Linked DNA regions of Pelodiscus sinensis. The protein of the gene in region 1 interacts with the protein of each later gene in a pairwise test. Links are inferred from orthologs where the notes say so. Each region holds a gene or a part of one and is shown in the gene's direction. Other genes may lie near its edges.

The links.
Region 2: the proteins of FOSL1 (region 1) and USF1 interact in binary tests that used the Homo sapiens proteins (3 or more experiments, as listed by UniProt). The link is inferred for Pelodiscus sinensis from reciprocal best matches to the Homo sapiens genes FOSL1 and USF1.

What each region holds. Positions count from the first base shown.
Region 1 is NC_134721.1:32,505,242-32,515,519, forward strand, and holds the start of FOSL1 (fos-related antigen 1), read left to right. Parts: upstream 1-5,097; 5' UTR 5,098-5,296; coding exon of another isoform or gene 5,297-5,309; coding exon 5,310-5,431; intron 5,432-9,686; coding exon 9,687-9,807; intron 9,808-10,278.
Region 2 is NC_134734.1:13,985,562-13,995,710, forward strand, and holds the start of USF1 (upstream stimulatory factor 1), read left to right. Parts: upstream 1-5,154; 5' UTR 5,155-5,271; exon of another isoform or gene 5,272-5,385; intron 5,386-10,149.

The sequences.
Region 1 (10,278 bases):
CTGGAAAAACTTGCCAGCTGTCTTCACTGGCCGCTTGAATTTCCACAAAAGCACTGACTTCCTACTGTAAGAAATCAGTGCTTTTTGCGGAAATACTATGCTGCTCCCATTCGGGCAAAAGTCCCTTTTGTGCAAAACTTTTGTGCAAAAGGGCCAGTGTAGACAGCTCAGATTTGTTTTCCGCAAAAAAGCCCCGATCATGAAAATGACTATCGGGGCTTTTTTGCGCAAAAGTGCGTCTAGATTGGCACGGATGCTTTTCTGCAAAAGCGCATTGTTATAACGTGAACTCTGCGCCAATCTAGATGCTCTTTTCCGAAAATGCTTTTAACGGAAAACTTTTCCATTAAAAGCATTTCCGGAAAATCATGCCAGTCTAGACGTAGCCCTGGATTATACTTGTCCTAAAATGGGGCTGCAGCATGGAGACCTTCTTCCACAAATGGCCTGCTGTAGCCCCCTTCTGAAGGGGAAGTGGTTCTCTGTGGACCCTTCAGCCCTTGGCCTCTCTGTTTGGGTTGGTGTGATGCAGACACCTCAGGGCATGGGGCCCACAACTCAGTCCACCAGCAGAGCTGTGAATGGCCTGAAGTTATGAATGACTTAGGTCTATATGGGGTCAGGTATCCCCTAGAGGTGAGAGGCTCTATAGCCCCTTACCCAATCCCCTGAGCCGGTCTGGGGTCACATCAAATCCAGTGCCCCAAGAGGAGAAAGGCCCTGTATCCAATCCCTCTTTCACTCTGTCTCACGCAGGCTATGTCTACACTACACTGTTCTTCCAGAAAAAGCTATGCACATTGTGAAGTGCAAATTGTGTAGCTTTTTCCGCTTCTTTTTTCAGAAGAGGCTTTTCCAACATTTGGTCCATCTACACTGGGCTAAATGTCAGAAAAAAAATCTTTTTTGGAACATCCCTTCTTCCTTGTAAAACGAGATTTACAGGAATGCTGAAAAAGTGCATCTGCTCTTCTGAAAAAAATTCAGAAGATCAGAGGTGTTCTCTGGACACAGCAGAGTTTTTCTGGGACTCTGGTATCCCAGAAAAACTCTGTAGTGTAGACATAGCCCCAGTCTGACTTTTCTACAAGAATCTCTCAGCACTAAGACAACTGACTTGAATGCTCCCTCCTGCTCCACAGACACCCGCTGCTCCAGGACGGTCTCCTGGCTGGGCATGGTGCCAGCAATTCAGTATGCCAGCCTGGCACCATCTGCCTCAAGCCCAAGGAGGGACCCACCCTCATGCTAAGGGGCTGCCATGCAACTGTCTGGCCTCTCGGAGCTGGGAATAGAACCCAGAAGTCCTGGCTCATAGGGATCTTCTACATAGCACGGCAGGTAGGAAGCAGGGCAGGGCTTCAGGGGACAGGGCCAAAGGGAGGTGGGAGCAACAGGAAGGGGCAAAACTGCTTTTGGTGAAAGGCACAGACCATGAGCCTCTCTCTTAGGCCAACCCAGGCAGATGATTTACTGGGATGCTGGAAGGGCTATGGGGACTGCTAGCTTAGAGCAGCATGGGGGTGTCAGGGTGCCTGGGGCTTCTCTGCGTTCTGGGCGGCATTGGTGTGCATACTGGCACCCCTAGCCCTTGTGCCCACGATTGGGATGGGCAGAGATACCCCTTCCCCCGCAGACTCATGGCCTCTCATGCTGTAGCACCTCAGCCTGACAGTATTTGAGCCTCAGAGCAGAGGGAGGGCCCTAAACTGTGGGGGAGGGGAGATAAGGAAGGACTATCCCCCCGCAGCCCACTGCTGAAAGTGGCCCTGCCAACTCACCAGCTGGTGGGGGGGCGGTGTACATGTTTGGTGATCTTCAGGCAGCCTCCGCCCCACAGCCCTGCAGCACCCACAGTCCCTCTGCTCTAGCAAGCAAGGGGTTAACATGCTCTGCGTGTCCTCAGGAGATGGTAACGCTGGTTCCCTGCTGTCCTTGAGTCCCAGAGAGGTGGCTCTTGAGCCGAGCTTAAAGCCCCCTCCCCCCGCCCTGGATCGCCTCCTCCCCCCACCCTGGATCGCCTCCTCCCGTCTCTGCCACTGCCCCTCAATCCCGACTTGCAGCCTCTGCTCTCCCAGCCCTGGAGCTGTGCCCGGTTAGGCTGGGATCCAAACCCCGAGTCGCCAAGTGAGTAAAGTCAGGAGGAAGAGGAAGGGTGAGTAAGTGGATGAGCACACAAAGCGCTCGGCCGTCTCCTGTTTGGGATTTGGCCCGTTCCTTCCATAGACACGGAGGGGCCCTGCCTCCTGCCTCGCAGCCACACACACTTGTGAGTGCCACGTGCCGATCTGGAGGGAGCCTGTGTGAAACCCCCCGCCCCCAGCTCCATCGCTCTCCAGGAATCCGCCGGAAACTGCTGCTGCTTTCAAAGGCGGAATAAGATGACCGGAGAATTTGAAATGCTGGGACACACCCAGCTCTGCCAGTGCCCCTCGGTGCCAGCCCGCAGCCCCCTGCTCTGGGCTTCCCCCCCAGCTCTGCCAGTGCCCCTCGGTGCCAGCCTGCAGCCCCCTGCTCTGGGCTTTCCCCCCCAGATCTGCCAGTGCCCCTCGGTGCCAGCCTGCAGCCCCCTGCTCTGGGCTTTCCCCCCCAGATCTGCCAGTGCCCCTCGGTGCCAGCCTGCAGCCCTCTGCTCTGGGCTTTCCCCCCCAGATCTGCCAGTGCCCCTCGGTGCCAGCCTGCAGCCCTCTGCTCTGGGCTTCCCCCCCCCCCCAGATCTGCCAGTGTCCCTCGGTGCCAGCCTGCAGCCCTCTGCTCTGGGCTTCCCCCCCCCCCCAGCTCTGCCTGTTCCCCTCAGTGCCAGCCTGCAGCCCCCTGCTTTGCACCCTCCATCAGTGCTACTCAATGCCAGTCTGCAGCTCCCTGCTATTCCAATCCTGGGCTCCCCCTCCCCATGTGGTTCTGCCGGTGACACTCAGTCCCAACCTGCAGCCTCCCAGCATCTGTCCCATGCTAGTCTCCAGGGAAATGGGATGACTGCATTGCTCTGTGCTAAGGGTTTAAATACCGGGGAGCAGGGGGGACAGTAGCTAGGATGGGAGTCAGCCATAGCTCCCGATCTCTCCTTGGTCCCCAAGGCCAGTGGCAGGGTGCCAGCTGGCTGCTCTCTGCCCCCCATTCCTGCCAGGTTAGTCACCGGGAGCATGAGATCAGCTGCATTCCTGTGTCTCACATCCTGTCCTGGTCCTTGGGGAGATGGATTGTTAACCCGCACAGGGCCAGACCCTAGGGATCATGGTGCATTGGTCGGGGAGTCACTGGCCCCCACCCTGTGGCCACGGCCCAGAAGAACTGATTGTTTGGAGGTTGGGGGAAGCGGCCAGGACCCCTGGGGTTCTCTTCCTGGTGGTTGGAGGGGGTTCTAGCGGTTAAGGCAGGGGACTCTGAGCAACAGGACCTCTGGGTTTCATTCCCTGCTCCCCCAGTGACCTGCTGTGTGACCTTAAAGGAGCCTCTTCCTCTCTGTGCCTTATTTTCTCCTTCCACATGGGATCTGTTTAGACAGTGAGCGCTTCAGGACAGGGACGGTGTCTCCCTGGGTCTGTGCTGTGTCTGGCACAACGGGGTCCCTCGCTCCACGGGGTCTCCGAGCAGTAGCGGGAGGTAACTCTGGCGCTCTGGCTCCGCGGGGCAGCGGGACGGGAGCCGGACATGCTCTCACTCTCTGCACTGGGCCCAGCCCTGCCAGTTTCGCTGGTAGGCGCTTTCAGTTCCTGCTTCTGACCAAAGGCGTCTGCTGCGCGTCAGGAATGTACACCCCCGCAGCCCACTCGGAGCGAGGGAAACCACCAGCTGGGGGTGGAACCAGGAGGCAGGACCCCAGCCCCCTCTACTTTAACCCACCTGACCCCACTCCTTAACTAGAGCTAGGGTGGGATGGTCCAGGGGCCTTGGCCCCCGCCCCTGCTCTAACACAATAGGCCCCCCTCCCTCCTTCCAAAGCTGGGGACAGAATACAGTTCTGAGTCCCACTTAGCTGGCCACTTCCATTCTCCACACTAGGGCATCTTCCAGCCGCTTACGGGGAGGGGAGACTGTAGAGTCTCAGCAGGGGTGGGTGGGGGAGTCAGGCTTAGTCTCTGTTCAAAGAGCAAGGGGCTCTGCGGTACTGCAGGAGGAGAGGTCGCAGCCAGATTGCAGGGGGATACGCCTGGGTTGGGCTGGGTGTTCCTATTCTAACCTTGGGGGGGGGGGGGAATTCCAGCTCCTGCACCGCTGGGGGAAATGGGGATTCACGGGATTTACAATCATCTCATTGGGCCCCAAAACCTGGCAGCGCCAGGCATGTGCGGGGGGGGGGGGGGGGGGGGGGGAAAGCGAGCACCTATAAACAGGGCCCGGCCCGCATTGCTCCTGGGGTCCTATCCAGCCAGCCCCGAATTCATGTATTGGACGCTGGGGAAGGGAGGGAGGGGGGGGGGGAGAGTGTCTTTCGCTGCGTCTTTGTATCTTTGACATGTGAAAACCATCTACCTGGCCTGATGGGAGTGTCTGTCTGTCCGTGTTTAGGCCTGTTTATTGTTGCGCGGGGTGTGGAAGGTGCCCATGTGTGTATTTCTGTGTGCAACAACGATGCTTGTAGTTGTGCAACAGCGATGCATGTAGCTCCACATCCATCGTGGTTGTGAGGGGATGGACGTGTTGTTGCACAGCTGTGTGTGGTACAGAGGTGCACGCCGTGGTGGTGTGCAGGGTGTGTGCTGTAGTAAGAGTGGGGTGGTTGTACATATGTGAGCGGTGTTGGGTGTTGCACCTGCCTGAGGTTCGGGGTGTATGTGAAAGTGTATAGGTGTGGGTGTTTGTTTGTGTGGCGTTGTTATTGCAGTGCTGCGACGGGATCTCCGATACGCATCTTGAACAAACAGAGTTTGGAAACAAACACCGAGGGGAATCCTTTACTATTGCAGAGCAAGCCAGAGGAAATCATACTATATATGGACATCTACGTCATCGAGCACTGAGTCAATCCCCAGACCGTACCAAGTAGATTTAGAGTAAGGGGGAAAGATTGACTTGGTTGTCCTTTTAGGGGCTCACCAACTCTGATTCCCCTAAAAAGGGTGCATCTTAATTGAATAAGTCTGAGAAACACCAGAGTGGGTTACTGGAGCGGGGATTCTCTGCTTCCTGATGACTTGAAAAGGGCGTGAGGTGGGACTCGCCCCTCCCCTGCCTAGACTAAAGTGAGCAGGTCCTGGAGTACCCATTCATAAAAAAAGTAACTTGGAGGGAGCCAGTTTAGAGAAGCGCTTGGCGGACTGACCCGGCATCTTACGGCCCCAGAGCAGATCTAGACATGTTCAGGAACTATGGAGCGGGCAGTACGGATGGCCCGGGATCCTCGTACAACCCTCGCCCTCAGCACCCTGCCCTGCGCAGCATGGGATCGGCCGTCGTTCCAGGGACTCCGGGACCAGGGCAGCCGCAGCAGGTAAGGGGGAAGCGGGGCAAAGGGAAAAGAACTAGGGGGCAGTCGATCTGTCTCCAATCCCCATACCTATTCCGCTGTGTCCGTCTGTCGGTCCTTATTCACACCTCCCCATCTGCCCGTTCCCATGCGCACCTGTCTGTCTGTCCGCCCCCATGCACACCTCCCCTGATGTCTGCCCGGCAGTGCCCAGTCCCCATGCACACCTCCTCCAGAAGCGCTGGGAGGGTACTGGTTTCACAGTGGCTCTAGCGCCCCCATGATACAAATTGTTCCAGCTCCTCTTTCCCCACTGTCAGTCCACTCCCATACCCGCACTGTCTGTCAGTCTACCGCCATACCCCCACAGTCTGTCAGTGTACACCCACTCCTCCACTATCAGTCTACTCTCACACCTCCACTGTCTGTGAGTCCACCCCATTTCCCCACAGTCTATGAGTGTACCCTCATTCCCCCACAGTCTGTTGGTTTACCCCCATTCCTTCACTGTCTGTCATACCCACTCTCCTGTCTAATCTATTCTCTAGCCATCCTCATCCCCAGCTGTCTATTCATGCCACTTTCTGATTGTCCTTCCCTTCCTTCCTCACCCACCTAGCTCGCCACCTGCCCGCTAGCCAGTCACCGATCCCCTCCGCAGGCTCTGTCCCGCCTGCCCATGCTGTGCTTTCCCTTTCCTTTCTCGTTTTCGCTCTCGTTTCTTTTGGAGGAGCGGGGGGAGGGGAGCCCTCACTCTCCCTCCTGGGGGGAGCCCCGGTGACTAATGCTCCGGGTTGATTCACCCCACCGCGTGGCGCCTGCTTGTTTGCCCCCTCCCCCCCACACGCAGGCACTCGCGTGCAGACAGCAGAAAAATGCAGGGGTTTCCCCCGCCCGGCGCTCTACAGCAGAGTGATGGGGGGGGGGGGCTCCCTACTCCGGCAGCTGACTGAGCCTTACGCTGATCTTGCGCTGTGGGGGCCTGGGGTGTCCGTGTCCCTGCCCACCGCCCAGCCACCGTAATGAGACACCCCAGAGACCCTGTTCCAGTCGGGGGGACTCCCCGTCAAATGTCATCCTACAGGGTTTATGACACACAGTATACCCCATCCAGGAGGGGGCTGAGGAAGCACATGCAGCAGGGCATCTAAGTTCAGCGGGTTGGTGGATCGGCCAGACCCGCAGCACTTTAGCTCGGGGAGGGGAGCGGGGTTTAGGAGTTAGAGTTGGAAAGGGGAAGGCAGACGCCTGAGCTCTACGGCTGGGGGTGATGGGAGTCCGGACTGCTGGGTTCTGGGCCAGCTCTTGGGCAACCACTTCATCTCCGGATTCCTCCGTCCGTGTCCCGCAGGACGGGCACGGAGCTGAAAATCCAGCTGAGGAGGAGGTCAGGGCCAGCTGGGTTTACGACTCGCCTCCCTCTCTGGGCTGTTCGGAGCCGTGGGAGAGGGGGACCCAGGCAGTCCACTGAAGACAGACCCCAGGCAGCTCCTTCCCACAGCAGCTGGATGCGTGTAGTGGGGGCGGGGGGCTCCAGGCTACGGCAGCAGGGCAGACCGGGAGATGGCTCCCGCTGGAGCTCCAGGGTGCTAAGTCATGCCCGGTGAGTCATCAGAACCGGCGGGGCTGAGTCACGGTCGCGCTCACCCCGCCTGGCCCCGCCATTCACCCCAGCCCGTGGCCAGGGTGCTGAGATTCCGCCGTTTCCTCTTGCATAAGGGCGGCCCTGCGACAGCTGCCGGCCCCACCCCACTGCCAGCTGCGGCGCCTGCCGTCCGCGTGCCAACAGCTGCCGCACAGGGGCTAGAACCCAGCGTCCTGACCCCCAGCTGCCCCCTCCCCTCCCAGAACTGCCCACAGAACCCAGCGTCCTGACCCCCAGCTGCCCCCTCCCCTCCCAGAACTGCCCACAGAACCCAGCGTCCTGACCCCCAGCTGCCCCCTCCCCTCCCAGAACTGTCCACAGAACCCAGCGTCCTGACCCCCAGCTGCCTCCTCCCCTCCCAGAACTGTCCACAGAACCCAGCGTCCTGACCCCCAGCTGCCCCCTCCCCTCCCAGAACTGCCCACAGAACCCAGCGTCCTGACCCCCAGCTGCCCCCTCCCCTCCCAGAACTGTCCACAGAACCCAGCGTCCTGACCCCCAGCTGCCTCCTCCCCTCCCAGAACTGTCCACAGAACCCAGCGTCCTGACCCCCAGCTGCCTCCTCCCCTCCCAGAACTGCCCACAGAACCCAGCGTCCTGACCCCCAGCTGCCTCCTCCCCTCCCAGAACTGTCCACAGAACCCAGCGTCCTGACCCCCAGCTGCCTCCTCCCCTCCCAGAACTGCCCACAGAACCCAGCGTCCTGACCCCCAGCTGCCCCCTCCCCTCCCAGAACTGTCCACAGAACCCAGCGTCCTGACCCCCAGCTGCCTCCTCCCCTCCCAGAACTGCCCACAGTACCCAGCGTCCTGACCCCCAGGCCATTATACTCCCCTGCCCTCCCTCCCAGTACCAGCAACAGAACCCAGGCATCCTGGCGCCCAGCCCCAGCTGCTGTAGCCACTAGCCTTGGCAGGGGGCCTGGGAAGCTCCGCTCCCATGCCCAGCCCCTGAGGTGTGCTCTCTCTCTGACACAGAAGGCGCGGCCAGCCTGCTGCCCCAGGGCTGGGTGGCACCAATACCCTGCGGGTGACACCTGCACACCAGGGCTGGGAAGGGACCCACAAGGCCAGGGAAACTGGGTCAAGGGTGGGGAGGACAAAGGGCGGGTTATCTGCGGGTGGGATTTCCGCACACACCCCTGCTGCTCACACGCAGGGACACGCCAGATCGTGCTGACTCAGCAGCCCTGGGAGCTGGAATCACCAGTGTGTGCCCAGAGTGGCAGCACAGAGCCCTCTGTGATGTCCCACCCCCAGCAGGTGCCTTGCCTCTGCCTCTCGGAGCCCTTGGCCTCTGTTGCTGAGGGAACGGACTAGAGCCAAGGTGGGGAGGGGACCCCCATGCTATGACCCAGCAAACTCACTTTACTCTGGCAGGCACAGAAGCAGCCATCCCACAACGGCTTTTGGGCTGGATCCAAGCTTGGGGTTTCTAGAGAAGAAGGCCCCATATTACAACCCCATACCCCGGAGCCAGCTGGGGGCTAGATTGGAACTGGCACTAACTGGAGGGGAAAGGGTCTATATCACCATCCCCCACCCCATGAGCTGCAAGTCCCTTCCTCTGCCCCATGCCCTGGGCTCTGTCCCTGACATTCTCTAGCTCCTAAAAAGGCTATGGGACATGGGAATGACTCTAAACCATCCTGTTCTGCTCTGCCCCATTAGCTCCCTTCTCACATAAGTAACCCACATGGGCACCCCTCTGTCTGGGCACGAGGCAAACAGTGGGCATGGCATGGCACTAGCAAGGTACCTGCCCCTCTGCCCATTGCACCAAATCAGCTGTGCTGCCTGCATCACTTGCCCCTGCTGAATGCAATGCTGGCTGGAACGTAGCTGTGTCTCCTAGACACTATTCTGCCAATCACCAATGGGGATTCTCCTAAAGCCTAAGGGGGTTTGTGCCTTTGGGATGGGAGGGCATGAGCCCCCAGCTAGTGTCTAGCCACCATGGTTAGAGATAGTACGAACTGTAAAGGCCTTCAGGGCAGCTTTGTATTAAGCAGACAGGCTGGGTGGGGAATGGAAGGGGCTATGTCTGAGGGCTAAAAGAGGTCACTTCCAGGGTGACATCGAGCCTAATAGGTACAGTCAGTGTTCCTGGGGTCTACTCCCAGCTCTGGGAGGAGGGGGAAGGGGCAAACTGATGCTGGGAGGTGAGGGAAGAAGCAGGGATGGGGCATTGGGACTCCTGGGTTCTCTGCTAATGACTTGCTCTGTGAACCAGGGCAGAGCCCTCTCTGGGGAGGTTGTGCCTTAGTCCTCCATCTGTAAAATGGAGATATCAAGACTTGGATTTCCCCCTGACCACCAAAGGGGTAAGCCCAATAGAAACCTCTGCACTGATCATGAGTTTAAAATCCCCAGGCCAGCAGAGTGGGTAAATTGACTGTAGGGAGCTAGAACCCATTTCCAGCCCCAACACACCAGCACGGCGGTGGGAAGGTGCAGGGATCCAAAGGCTCAGGGCTGAGCTTTTAAACAACCTCTTGGAGGAACCCCTGCAGCAATGGGGCCCATTCTTCCATCAGGGCAGGCCTCCGGGCTCCAGCCCTGCTGCATCACACGGGCGTGCTGCCCAGCCAGTCCAGTGCAGACAGACTCCTAGTCAGTCTTGTCCCCTCTTCAGAGACAAACGCTCCTCAGCACACATGTGCAGTGAGACCAGCCAGCCTTTTCTCAGCAGTTGCCTGCAACCCAGCACTGACACAGTCCATCTGGCCAAGGCAGAACCACACACCATCCCAGCTGTAAGTGATTCCATTTCAGGCTGCTTCTCCCTGAGCGCTGGTGTGAGCCATCAGCCTGGTCCAGAAACAGACTCTATACCCTCTTCAGGTGACCTCCCATCCTTTGTCCGCAGGCTGGGCCTAGCTGAGTTCCCAATCCTGCCTGCCAGAGTTTCCCACTGCTGTACTTCCTGTCTCTCTGACCCCTCTGTGGGTCTGGATGGTTTCAATCAGTTCTATCCAGAACTGATGACCCATTCAGTGGGACCGAGGCAGCAAGACAACACCCCTCATCCTGCACTGCCCTCTAGAGCAGATGTAAGAAACTTCCACTGGGTAGCAATGCAAAGTACAGAGGGAAACTGAGGCACCCAGACTGTTACAAAAAATCCCCATGTTGTGGGTTGAAGGGAGAGATGAACTGTCAGATCTAAGGGAAAGTGTCCAGTAATGGGGTGGGGAGTGGAAGGTTGTTAAACAAGGAACCTTCTG
Region 2 (10,149 bases), on another chromosome or scaffold:
GTAATGGGCAGCAGCCAAGGTATGCTGCTGGAGCCATGCAGGACAATCTGCTGCTTAGAGCTATCTCCTTGTAATTTCAGAGAAACCACCGGCACTAGTGCTGCTTGTCCCTTATTTACAGTCACTAGGCTCACCAGAGAGGCCAAGGAATGAGCCAGCCCTAATAGCTGGGCTCCTTTCTGATGCTCCCTTCAGGGCAGGGTTAGCAAGTGGGGAATGTTGTGTCTCTGCAGCCCAGCCTGTCCCTTTTCTTTGGGCAACAACACTGCCGAAAGGCCTAGAAAATCTATGGTAGGAAACGAGGCTATGGCCGATGGCCTAGATGAGATATACAGGCACGTCCAGCTCTAATTTTGCATCTTCCTGCCTTTAATATGAAAGGAGCAGCTGAGTCCAGGGGCGGATTGTCCCGGCAGGATACCAGGCATTTCCCAGTGGGCCGGCGGCCAAAGGGCCAGCTGGCGGCTGCTGGAGGAGAAGGGGGATAAACCCGGCAAGCTGCTCCTGGGAGTGGCTGCTGGAGTTCTGGCTCTGCACGGCCCTCCCCTCTCCGCTCCTCCCCACTCCAGAGGCATAGCGAAGGGGGGTGGGGGTGGGGCAGTTGCCCCCGCTTTCCCGGGCACCGGTCTGGGGTGGGACCAGAGAGCACATGCTGCTCTTGGGTCCGGGAGCTGCCGTGGCTGAGTGGCTCTCTCCAAACTGCAGTTGAAGCAGCCAGCTGGGTGGGAGGAGCAGTGGTTTTCAAGGTATGTTCCTCTGGTGCTTGGCTGGGGGGAGGCGGGGGAGGATTTGATTGGGGGAGTGCTCCCCCCGGCACTCACCCCTCCTCCTCTGGGGCAATGCTCCCCCATTCACCTTCAAAGCTGCACAAGCTGCATTTGTGCACGCACCCCCAGCAAGCCACGCAAGCTGCATTTGCGCGCACACCCTCCCTGGACAAAAAAAGGGGGGGGGGGGGCAGCCAAACCATTTTTTGTTTGGGGCAGCAAAAAAACTAGAGCCGGCCCTGGATGCAGGGAAAGATGGAGGGGCATGCAGAGGTGACATCAGGGAGAGGGCCGTTCTCAACCCATTTCCCGGGCCTATTTTGATTGCTAGTCTACCCCGGCTGAGTCCTTGGGTTTCTAGTCTCCCAACACCGCTCCAGTCAGCATTCCTGTTTCACCAGTTGTGTCGGGGACTCCAGTATTTTGTTAACCTGAGATGGCAGCTGGTTTGGGTTTGACAAGGATTTGTAGCTCCTGCCTCCTCTTCCCGGATAATAAAGATTGTTTGGAAGCAATCCATGCAGTTGTGGTGGTAGCTTTTCATACAAGAGTCTCTGATCCTGTGCTGCTGAGTCCCAGATGGGCAATCCAGAGATGTCAGGTTTGTCAGAGTAGGGCACCACCGGTGCGTGGGTTTGTCTGGGCTGAACAGGGCCATGTTGTGCCTTGCTCGTATAGGGCACAAAGGGCTCCTTTGACTGTAAAGGGTGTGCAAATGAGATGAGTTCAAAAGGCATGTCCAGTGTTACCATCAGCTAGAATTTAACCCCTGGACTTCGGCAGGAGAAGATCTGGGTTGAAATCCAGGCTAACTAGGAAAATGCGTGCCTGGGTGGGGGCGGGGAGGGGAGGTGTTAACCCAGTAAGGGCTGGGACCTTCATTCCCATGGTCTCACTTTGCCTAAATCACTAAGGTGCCGATCCTGCAAGGAGCCCATGGGCTAGCCAGACTGGAGTAGCAAGGAATGGGGCAGGTTGGTGTTTCATCAGCGCTAGTTGGTCAGAAGCTAGGCCCACTGCAGGGCAGGACCGAGGTGCAGCAGCAGCAGACTGCGTGAAGCCCCACACTGGAAGAGGTGAGGGTTGCAGGGCAGGAGAGAGGCCCACCATTGTAAAACCTATCTCCCATTTCCTTCCACCCAGGCCTGGTCCCCCTCCTCTGGCAGTGCACAAGAGGCTTAAGGTGAAGGGCAAGGATGGGGAGCCTCAGGCCCGGCTTGCCTGGATCCAGACCTCGACACTCAGGGCCAGAGCCTGGACTGGTGCACACAGGGGCAGATGAGGATTTTGCAGGACCCAGGGCAGCACAATTTTGTGGGCCCCCCCCCCTTTAACATGGCGCATGCACGGTGGCATCATGGCGCATGCGTGGGGCTTCTTGAAGCGTGGGGCCCGGGGCGGAACTGGAAAGGGAACGGGCAGGACAGGGTAGGGATGTTAGGGTTTGTATGATTAGACAGTTGACAACCCTAATGGAACCGGCAGCAACCAGGGCCAGATTCAGGCTCTAGAGATTCCTTTTCAACAAAACCACACAGAACAATTAATTATGCAAATTAAGCATGGTGATATTCTACTCCACGCTTCATTTGCACAAGCTTTTGCGGAAAAAGGGTGCCATATAGACATAGCCTTAGGTACCTTCTGTTGCTATGTGACTGGATTCGGCCAGTCAGTATCTTAGGTTGCATGCACACTGTAACTCAAAATAAGATAAGCAATTTGAGCTATGCAAATTGCATACCTTATTTCGATACAATTTCGAAATAGCTTGTTTCATCCTTTCGCGCTGTCTCCACAGTGCCAAATTTTGAAATAAAGCGATATTCTGAAACATCCCTTACTTCTTGTAGAATGAAGTTTACTGGGGCATCGGACTAACGAGCCCGAAATAATGGGCTTGCTGTGAAGACGCAGGATAGCTATTTCAGGGTACTCCGAAATAACGTTGCAGTGTAGACATAGCCTTACTGTCAACTCACAGTGATGTGTGCGTGAAAGTGTGCACTCCTGCACACAATCGCATCCTTTCATACCCTCCCCAGCTCTTCCATTTAAGCCCCTGACTTAACAAGGTCCTTTCAAGATGAGGCTGACCTACTCATTTGGGACAGATTAAACTCAGGCCTGTTCCCAGTAAAGATAAGAACACTGAGAACAGTTCATTACTTCCTGCAGTCAGTATAAAGAGATCTTTGGGTCACTGTGGTTAGTTATCTAAAAACATCCTCTCCATGTGCAGCAGCAGTCAAAAAGCAAACAGAATGTTGGGAATCATTAAAAAAGGGATAGAGAATAAGACAGAAAATATCTTATTGCCTCTATATAAAACCATGGTAAGCCCACATCTTGAATACTGCATACAGATGTGGTTGCCCCATCACAAAAAAAGGTATCTAGGCATTGGAAAAGGTTCAGAAAAGGGCAACAAAAATTATTAGGGGTTTGGAATGGGTCCCATCTAAAGAGAGATTTAAAAAGACTGGGACTTTTCAGCTTAGAAAAGAAGAGACGAAGGGGGGTATGATAGAAGTCTATAAAATCATGACTGGTATGGAAAAAGTGAATGAGGGAAAGTTATTTACTTGCTCCCATAACATAAGAACTAGGGGTCACCAAATGATATTAATAGATGGCAGGTTTAAAGAAAACAAAGGGAAGCTTTTCTTCATGCAGCGCACAGTCAGCCTGTGGAACTCTTTGCCAGAGGATGTGGTGAAGGCTAGGACTTCAGGGTTCAAAAAGAGCTAGATAAATTCCAGGAGGATAGGTCCATCAATGGCTATTAGCCAGAATGGGTAGGAATGATGTCCCTAGGCTAGTGATTCCTAATCTTTTTCCCATGGAGGAACCCCTAAAATAATTTTTCATATCCCGAGGAACCCCTACCTATGAAAACATTTGCTTGGCCAGAAAAAGTTGACAGCAGGAAGCGCAATTCAATTTATTCAAATTATTGTCAAGAAAATTTATTTGTAAAGAGCTGTTTATATATATATATATATAGGGCTCGTCGAGCGGCAGCAAGCCCCGCTCGCCAGCCGCACGGTTCTGCGCTCTGCGCATGCGCAGATTGCTCCACACTGGCTCTTCTGGGGTTTAATCTACTCGCCACGGGCGAGTAGATTACACTATTTGTCGAGCCCTGTATGTGTGTGTGTGTGTGTGTATATATATATATATATGGCTCGACAAATAATGTAACTTACTCACCCATGGCGAGTAGATTACACCCGGGAAGAGCCGGAGCAGAGAAATCTGCGCATGAGCAGAACCGTGCGACTGGTGAGCGATGTGTGTGTGTAATATAACCTTAGATATGAACTGACCTAAACAGAACAAAGAGGCAGTTGGCAGTGTACAAAGATTACTCCAGTATCGCCAATTGCTGGAAAAAAATTCCCGCGATATTTTGAAGGATATTTGGAATTGTTCGCGGTATTTCAAAATTTTTATTTATTTATTCCACAATTTCTCACAGAACCCCTGACGATGGTCTGCGGAACCCCAGGGTTCTGCAGAACCCTGGTTGGGAAACACTGCCCTAGGCTCTAGCAGAGGTTGGAAATGGGTGACGGGAGAGGGATTATGTGATGATTCCCTGTTCTGTTCACTCCCTCTAGAAGGGCCCCTGGCATTGGCCACTGTGGGAAGACAGGATCCTGGGCTAGAGGGACCTTTGGTCTGTTGGATGTTCTTCTGTAACTGGTCACTTTGGGCAATTCAGCATCTGGCTGCTGGACAGGGAGGCACAGCCCGTGTGTTCATGTACCCATTAGTGGGCATGTACTGACGGCTCCCGAGGGCTCCCCCTCCCAGCTCTGCTGTCAGTGGGATTCATTCAGGCCCTGCTTACAGAGGGGTACTTCCCCGGGGGTTAAAATCCCTAATTCGAGGGGAAAGAGCTGAACAAGCTCAGTATCAGGTGGGGGACCCTGATATGGGGCTGAGGGGATAAGCCCCTAATGTCGGGGGGGTCAATATACTAATTATGGGGAGGGTTAGCCTCCTAACTCTATATAAGAAAGAAGTAAAAGGGGCTCAGGAGCAAAACTCCCAAGCCCCCATCAATCCATGGCATTTATATGGGGGGAGCAAGCTGTCCCCACTTCTTGGGTAGCCAAGGAGACAGGCAGCTAGCCAGAATGACGTTTGCCCCTGGCAAAGATGGCCGAAAGTGTGTTCTGCCCTCATTCAAAATGGCGTCTGACAGACGCCGGAACACAAGGTCGTCTCCGGCCCCGGAAGTCGGGGTGCATGAAGCCAGCCCCCACCGGAAGTTGGCGTAGAGAGCGCCCCGGATTAAGATGGCGCCCGCCCGAAGCAGCGAAAGGCAACGCGACGCACTAAAATGGCGCCCGCTTGGGAGCCGTGACGCAAGGTGCCCGGCACTAAGATGGCGGCGGGGGAAGACGGAGCCAATGCGCCCCTGACCAAGATGGCGGCGAGTGGTGGCGCAGGGAGGGGCGGGGCCGGGTTACCGCCCTTGTTTCCGCCCCGCACGGTAATGGCGGCAGCGGCGGCGGGAGGGGAGGGGGCGTTGAGCGAGTGCGCATGTGCACATCTCCATGGAGAGAAAAGGGGCTGAGGGAGCGAGCGGGATAAAGGGAAAAACCAGGTAACGGGGCCGCCGGGGGAGGGGCCACGCGCTGCTGGCGCGGCCCGGCGCTGAATGGCCGGGAGGTGCCCAGCCTCGGGGGCGGCACAGGCCGGGCTGAGCTAGGGGTGGGCTCAAGCGGGGGGAGGGGCCTGGCCTCCCTCCTTTCCCCCCTCGGGGTTCCTGGGGGGGGTGTTGGCGGCACCCGGGACTGTGGGGGGTGGGGCCCCCTTGGGGCTGGAGGGGCATCTCCTGGGGCGCCTCGCTCCCCCTGCTCTAGACACTCCCCCCACACCTGTCTCCCCCCCCTTGTGAGAGCCTCGTCGGCTGTGGGGTCCCCCTCAGCGCTGCCCCGCTCTGGGGGGTGCCCCCCTCGCTGCCAGCTGCCCTGCGAGCCCGGCCCTGCTCCGAAGATGAGGAGCCCGCTGTGCGACCCTGAATGGGCGAGACGCGCCCGGCTGGATGCGAGGCCCAGCGAAAGCAGCACTAGGCTTAGCTCGCTGCCTCATCGCTTCTCTGGCCTCCTCCTCCCTGGCCGCTGCCCCTCACTGGGCTCCCAAGAAATTATTGGAGGAATCCGTCTGGTGCCTGTCAGACGGCATCCCTCTTCTCTCCTCCCCTGCAAGGTGTGATTGGTCCATCCCCTCGCAGTGCCCCTGTTTACACTATCCCGGTGAACCCTCCTTTCTCTGTAGTCAGTCCGTCCGTCACCAGCCACATCTTATCAGGGGCTGCTTACGCTGCCTGTCTCCATGCACAATAATAAAGGCTTCTGCTGTTATCTTGTATCGCTGACAGCCCTCTGCACCTGGGATGGAATTGTTTGCTTTTCTTGTGCAGAGTTTTTGTGATGAACTGGTGTGTATGTGTGTGGGAGTAGGAGCGATCTGTTAAGATTGTGCTTTGTTTATTTTCCCTTTTATGCAGGCCTTATATACAGTTTACTTTTCTGTTCTAATGTTTAGATTGTTGCAAATGCAACACAAACTCACTCCCTCAAAAGAGCTTACAGCTTGTCTAAACACAAAGTAACACTGGTTTAATTAAAGGTATGATTTAAATTTGATGGATAACCCCATATAGAGCATCTTAAAATGATTTAAACCTGGCTTGTATAGGTTTACCTTACCTTTGGAAATTGCTAGGCACAAACTAAACCATGCAGCTAGTTTTAAAGTGATAGAGCAGTGCAAATCCTTTTGTGGTCACTTCTAACTGACATTTGCCTCTAAGCTTGTGTGGGTTCTTTGTGTAAACAAGGCCTTAAAATCTTTTGCAGAAACTGCACTGGTTTAAGCAAATTTCACTTAAAAATATTTAACAGTTGTAGATCACTCGTGATATTTATAACCAACACATCATATCAGTTTGTGCATGTAAACTTACTGACACAAGCTAAACCAACATAAACCAGGTTTAAATCAAATTAGAAATGTCTATGGAGTTTTTGTTCGTTTAACTAAATAGGTTTTTAAAAAAAAACCTTTAGTGCAATTTTGTTGTTAGACCAGTTCTTAGACAAACATGATGTACAGGATGGCAACTTCAGGACATTTTGTCCAGTGATATTATACAAAGAATTGTTTGAAGGTGGAGAGGTGAGATGCTTTGCATGTATGACTGGCCTCAGCATAGGGAGTGGCATAGAAAATATGCAGAGCCAGGAGTTGGAGAAGGTGACAAAGAGAGCAGGTGAGAGGGAGAACTAATATCAGACTCCTGTTGAGTTTTATGTAAGGGTTAGTGGAACATTGAACTTGACTCAGGTGAAAATCCAATGCAAGAGGGGAAGGTAGCAGATTGCTGGGGGTAGTTTAATCCATAGCTCTGGATTGGAGGGAGGGAGAGGTGAATAATACTTAGGCAGATTCCTAAATTGAGGAAAAACAATGAGCAGTCTTGTAGCATCTTGGAGATTAACATATATAATAGTATCATGATCTTTTGTGGGCAAAACCCACTTCCTCAGATGACCACTCTGTTCCTGTGAGAGAGTGGGTTTTGCCCACACAAACTTGCTTTTTTTTTTTTTTTTGGAAGTTGCAGACTAACAGAACTACCCCTTTGGGACTCCTAAAGTCAGAGTTTTACAAATCTCTCTATAGGCTTCCACTGAATCAACAAGCAGTTCATTAAAATATCCTTAAAACACCATTGGAAAGTCTTTCAAATATCTAACGCCTTGATCCTGCAATCTGCTGTGTGTGGGTGGACTCTTACAGTAGACATTGTGGCTCTTCTGCGTATAAGGCCTCCTTGCACATTGGTACCTAACTTATTAAACTAATCATGCTGTCTGGTGTATTAAAAATAAATCAGTCGTGTGTGTTTGTGCCCAAGGTGCATAAAAGTGAGTGCCCCGCTGGCTGTGCTGTTTTTATTTAGCAAGAGTATTCACAGACCTGAGCGGAGGAACTTTCTGCTGTTAGTACATAGATATTGTACTAAGATTAGCTTCTGCATATATTTAAATTGTTGCTGTTGAAACAAAATTATCTGCTATATTTCACTTGGTCATAAAACAAACAAACAAACCTGTGCCCAATAGAAATGCTTAAAGTGTGTATTTAAAAAGTTCTGCTGTACAATTCAAAAGTAAATAGATGCTCCCCTGCCCTGTTGAAACACAAGCCCTGAGCTATCAAGAATGTGAAAGTGAAACTGTTCTCCAGAGTCCAAATGGGGAGAGATGATTAAAGGAGACATAAAGTGAGGGTCAGAAGATGGTTTGATTTTTGTTTTCACCTCTGAAGTGATTTTGGTGACAAACTCACATTTGATCCATGAATTTGACTTGGTAACTTCAGCTTTGTTTAAAAAGATCTAACAAGATATGCTTGGGAGGTAAAGATTATTTTTAAAATGTGTTTTTGGAGGGGAGACTGGGATGGGAAGATGGAAAAGTGAATCTTACAAGATCATGATATTTCTCTACAAGTCTGCTTCTCTGAGCCACTTCCACTGTCACCCTGCAGAGCGAATATGGTTCAGAGTGTTGGATCTTCTATGGAGGATTTCCGAGTTCTTATTTAACTGTTTATCAATTGTCTGATAGAATGGTCTCTTCCTTAAATGATACTGTCTAGTTATCAAACCATTTATTAACCTTAACTGCAAATTTCCCACTCATAATGTCTCAGGTTATTAAAACGTGGTGCTACAATGATATGAGCAATAAATAATAATGATAAAATGGGTATTTAAAAATCTGGAGATTGTCAAAGTCAACTTGCTGGTGATGAGTTGGCAGCTTTCCCTGGTGAGCAGGGTGGTAGGAGAGACTAGAGCAGGGGTGAGCAAAAGGGCATGGAGGCCCTGCTGCTCCCCTGCCCCCAGGCCAGCACGGCCTGGGGGCGGGGGAACACCCAAAGCCTCCTTCCAGGGCTTTGTGTGCTCCCTCGCCCCCAGGCCAATCAGGACCTGGGGGTGGGGGAGCTGCGTGAAGCTTCCTTTGCCCTGCCCTGGCCCTGCAAGGGTACTCTGGCACTTCAGAGTTCCACGGGCTCCTCGCAGGGTAGGAGGAGGCTTCCTGCACTCTTCTGCCCCCAGGCCCTGATTGGCCTGGGGGTTGCAGAGCGTGCCAAGCCGTTTCCAGGGCATGAGTGCCTAGTAGGAAGGAGGGGCAAATGGACTCCCCACCCCCAGGCCAATCTTGGTCTGGGGGTGGGGTAGCCCTTCCCCTTCCTGTTTAGGCCCTGCCCCTTCCCGATGTGGCCTGGGGCTACTTCAAAATTTTTTGAAGTGGCCCCCGGGCAAAAATTATTGTCCACCCTGGGCTAGAGCATTGACTTCTGTAGAATTCTGTAGCTCATGATTTTGTTACATTTAACTTTTTGAATGATTGCAGTCCTTCTGACTGCAGAGGAAACCGTCCAAATGGGACCGTCAGCAGTTTGTGCTGTCTTGAGTGTGTGGATTGTCCTTGCTGCATCTTGTCCAACCTTCCCAAGCAAGGTTGGAGTGAAATTAATGAGACTGGTTGCTCTTTATGCAGCTGGGCAGAGCACTGTGGTAGTAGAAAACGAGTTGTGTTGTCATATATGCTGCTTGAAAAAGTTGTGAGCTGAAGTAGCACTAGAGCTGGTTCATGGGAAAGGAGGGCTCAGAAAAGATGCTGGGTAGGGATAGACCTCCGTCTTCTTGAACTGACTGGAGTAGAGCTAGAGCTACTTTCTGCTGCTGCTGCCCCACATAGTCATGAACCTTGGGAGCAAAGAGAGCATCTTCTGGAAGGCAGGACTGCAAATATATTGCACGGACTGGTCTTAGCTAGAGGCACCACCAGAACCTGGTAGCAATGCCAGACCGCGTAGCCTTTCATTCCATGGTGTTCAACGTGTTCTGTAGTGAACTAGCCATGGTCAACCAGCCAAACAGCCACATTATTCAAGACAACTAGCCACACTCAACTGGCCAAATAGCCACATGTGGACACCACAGCTTTAATTTATGCTGTGCTTTTTATTCATAAATCCCAAGGTGCATTACAGCTGTGAGTGCTGTCATCCCCATGTTATAGATGTGGAAATTGAGGCACTATAACTGGCCCAAGGTCGCACAGCTAGCGAATAGCAGAAATCTAGAAATCTGGGGTCCTGACTTTGCTGCCCAGTCTGGGACCCTAGGCACACTTTGCAAAGGGTTCTGCCTCTCCCTATAATGGCAACAGGTTTTGCAATTATGAATGGATCAGTTCACTCCTTTTGGCTCATGTTCCAAGGAGTCTGCAGACTCAGGCAGGCCTAAGTTACACTTTGGTCAGGTTTTCAAGCTTTTCTTATCTGT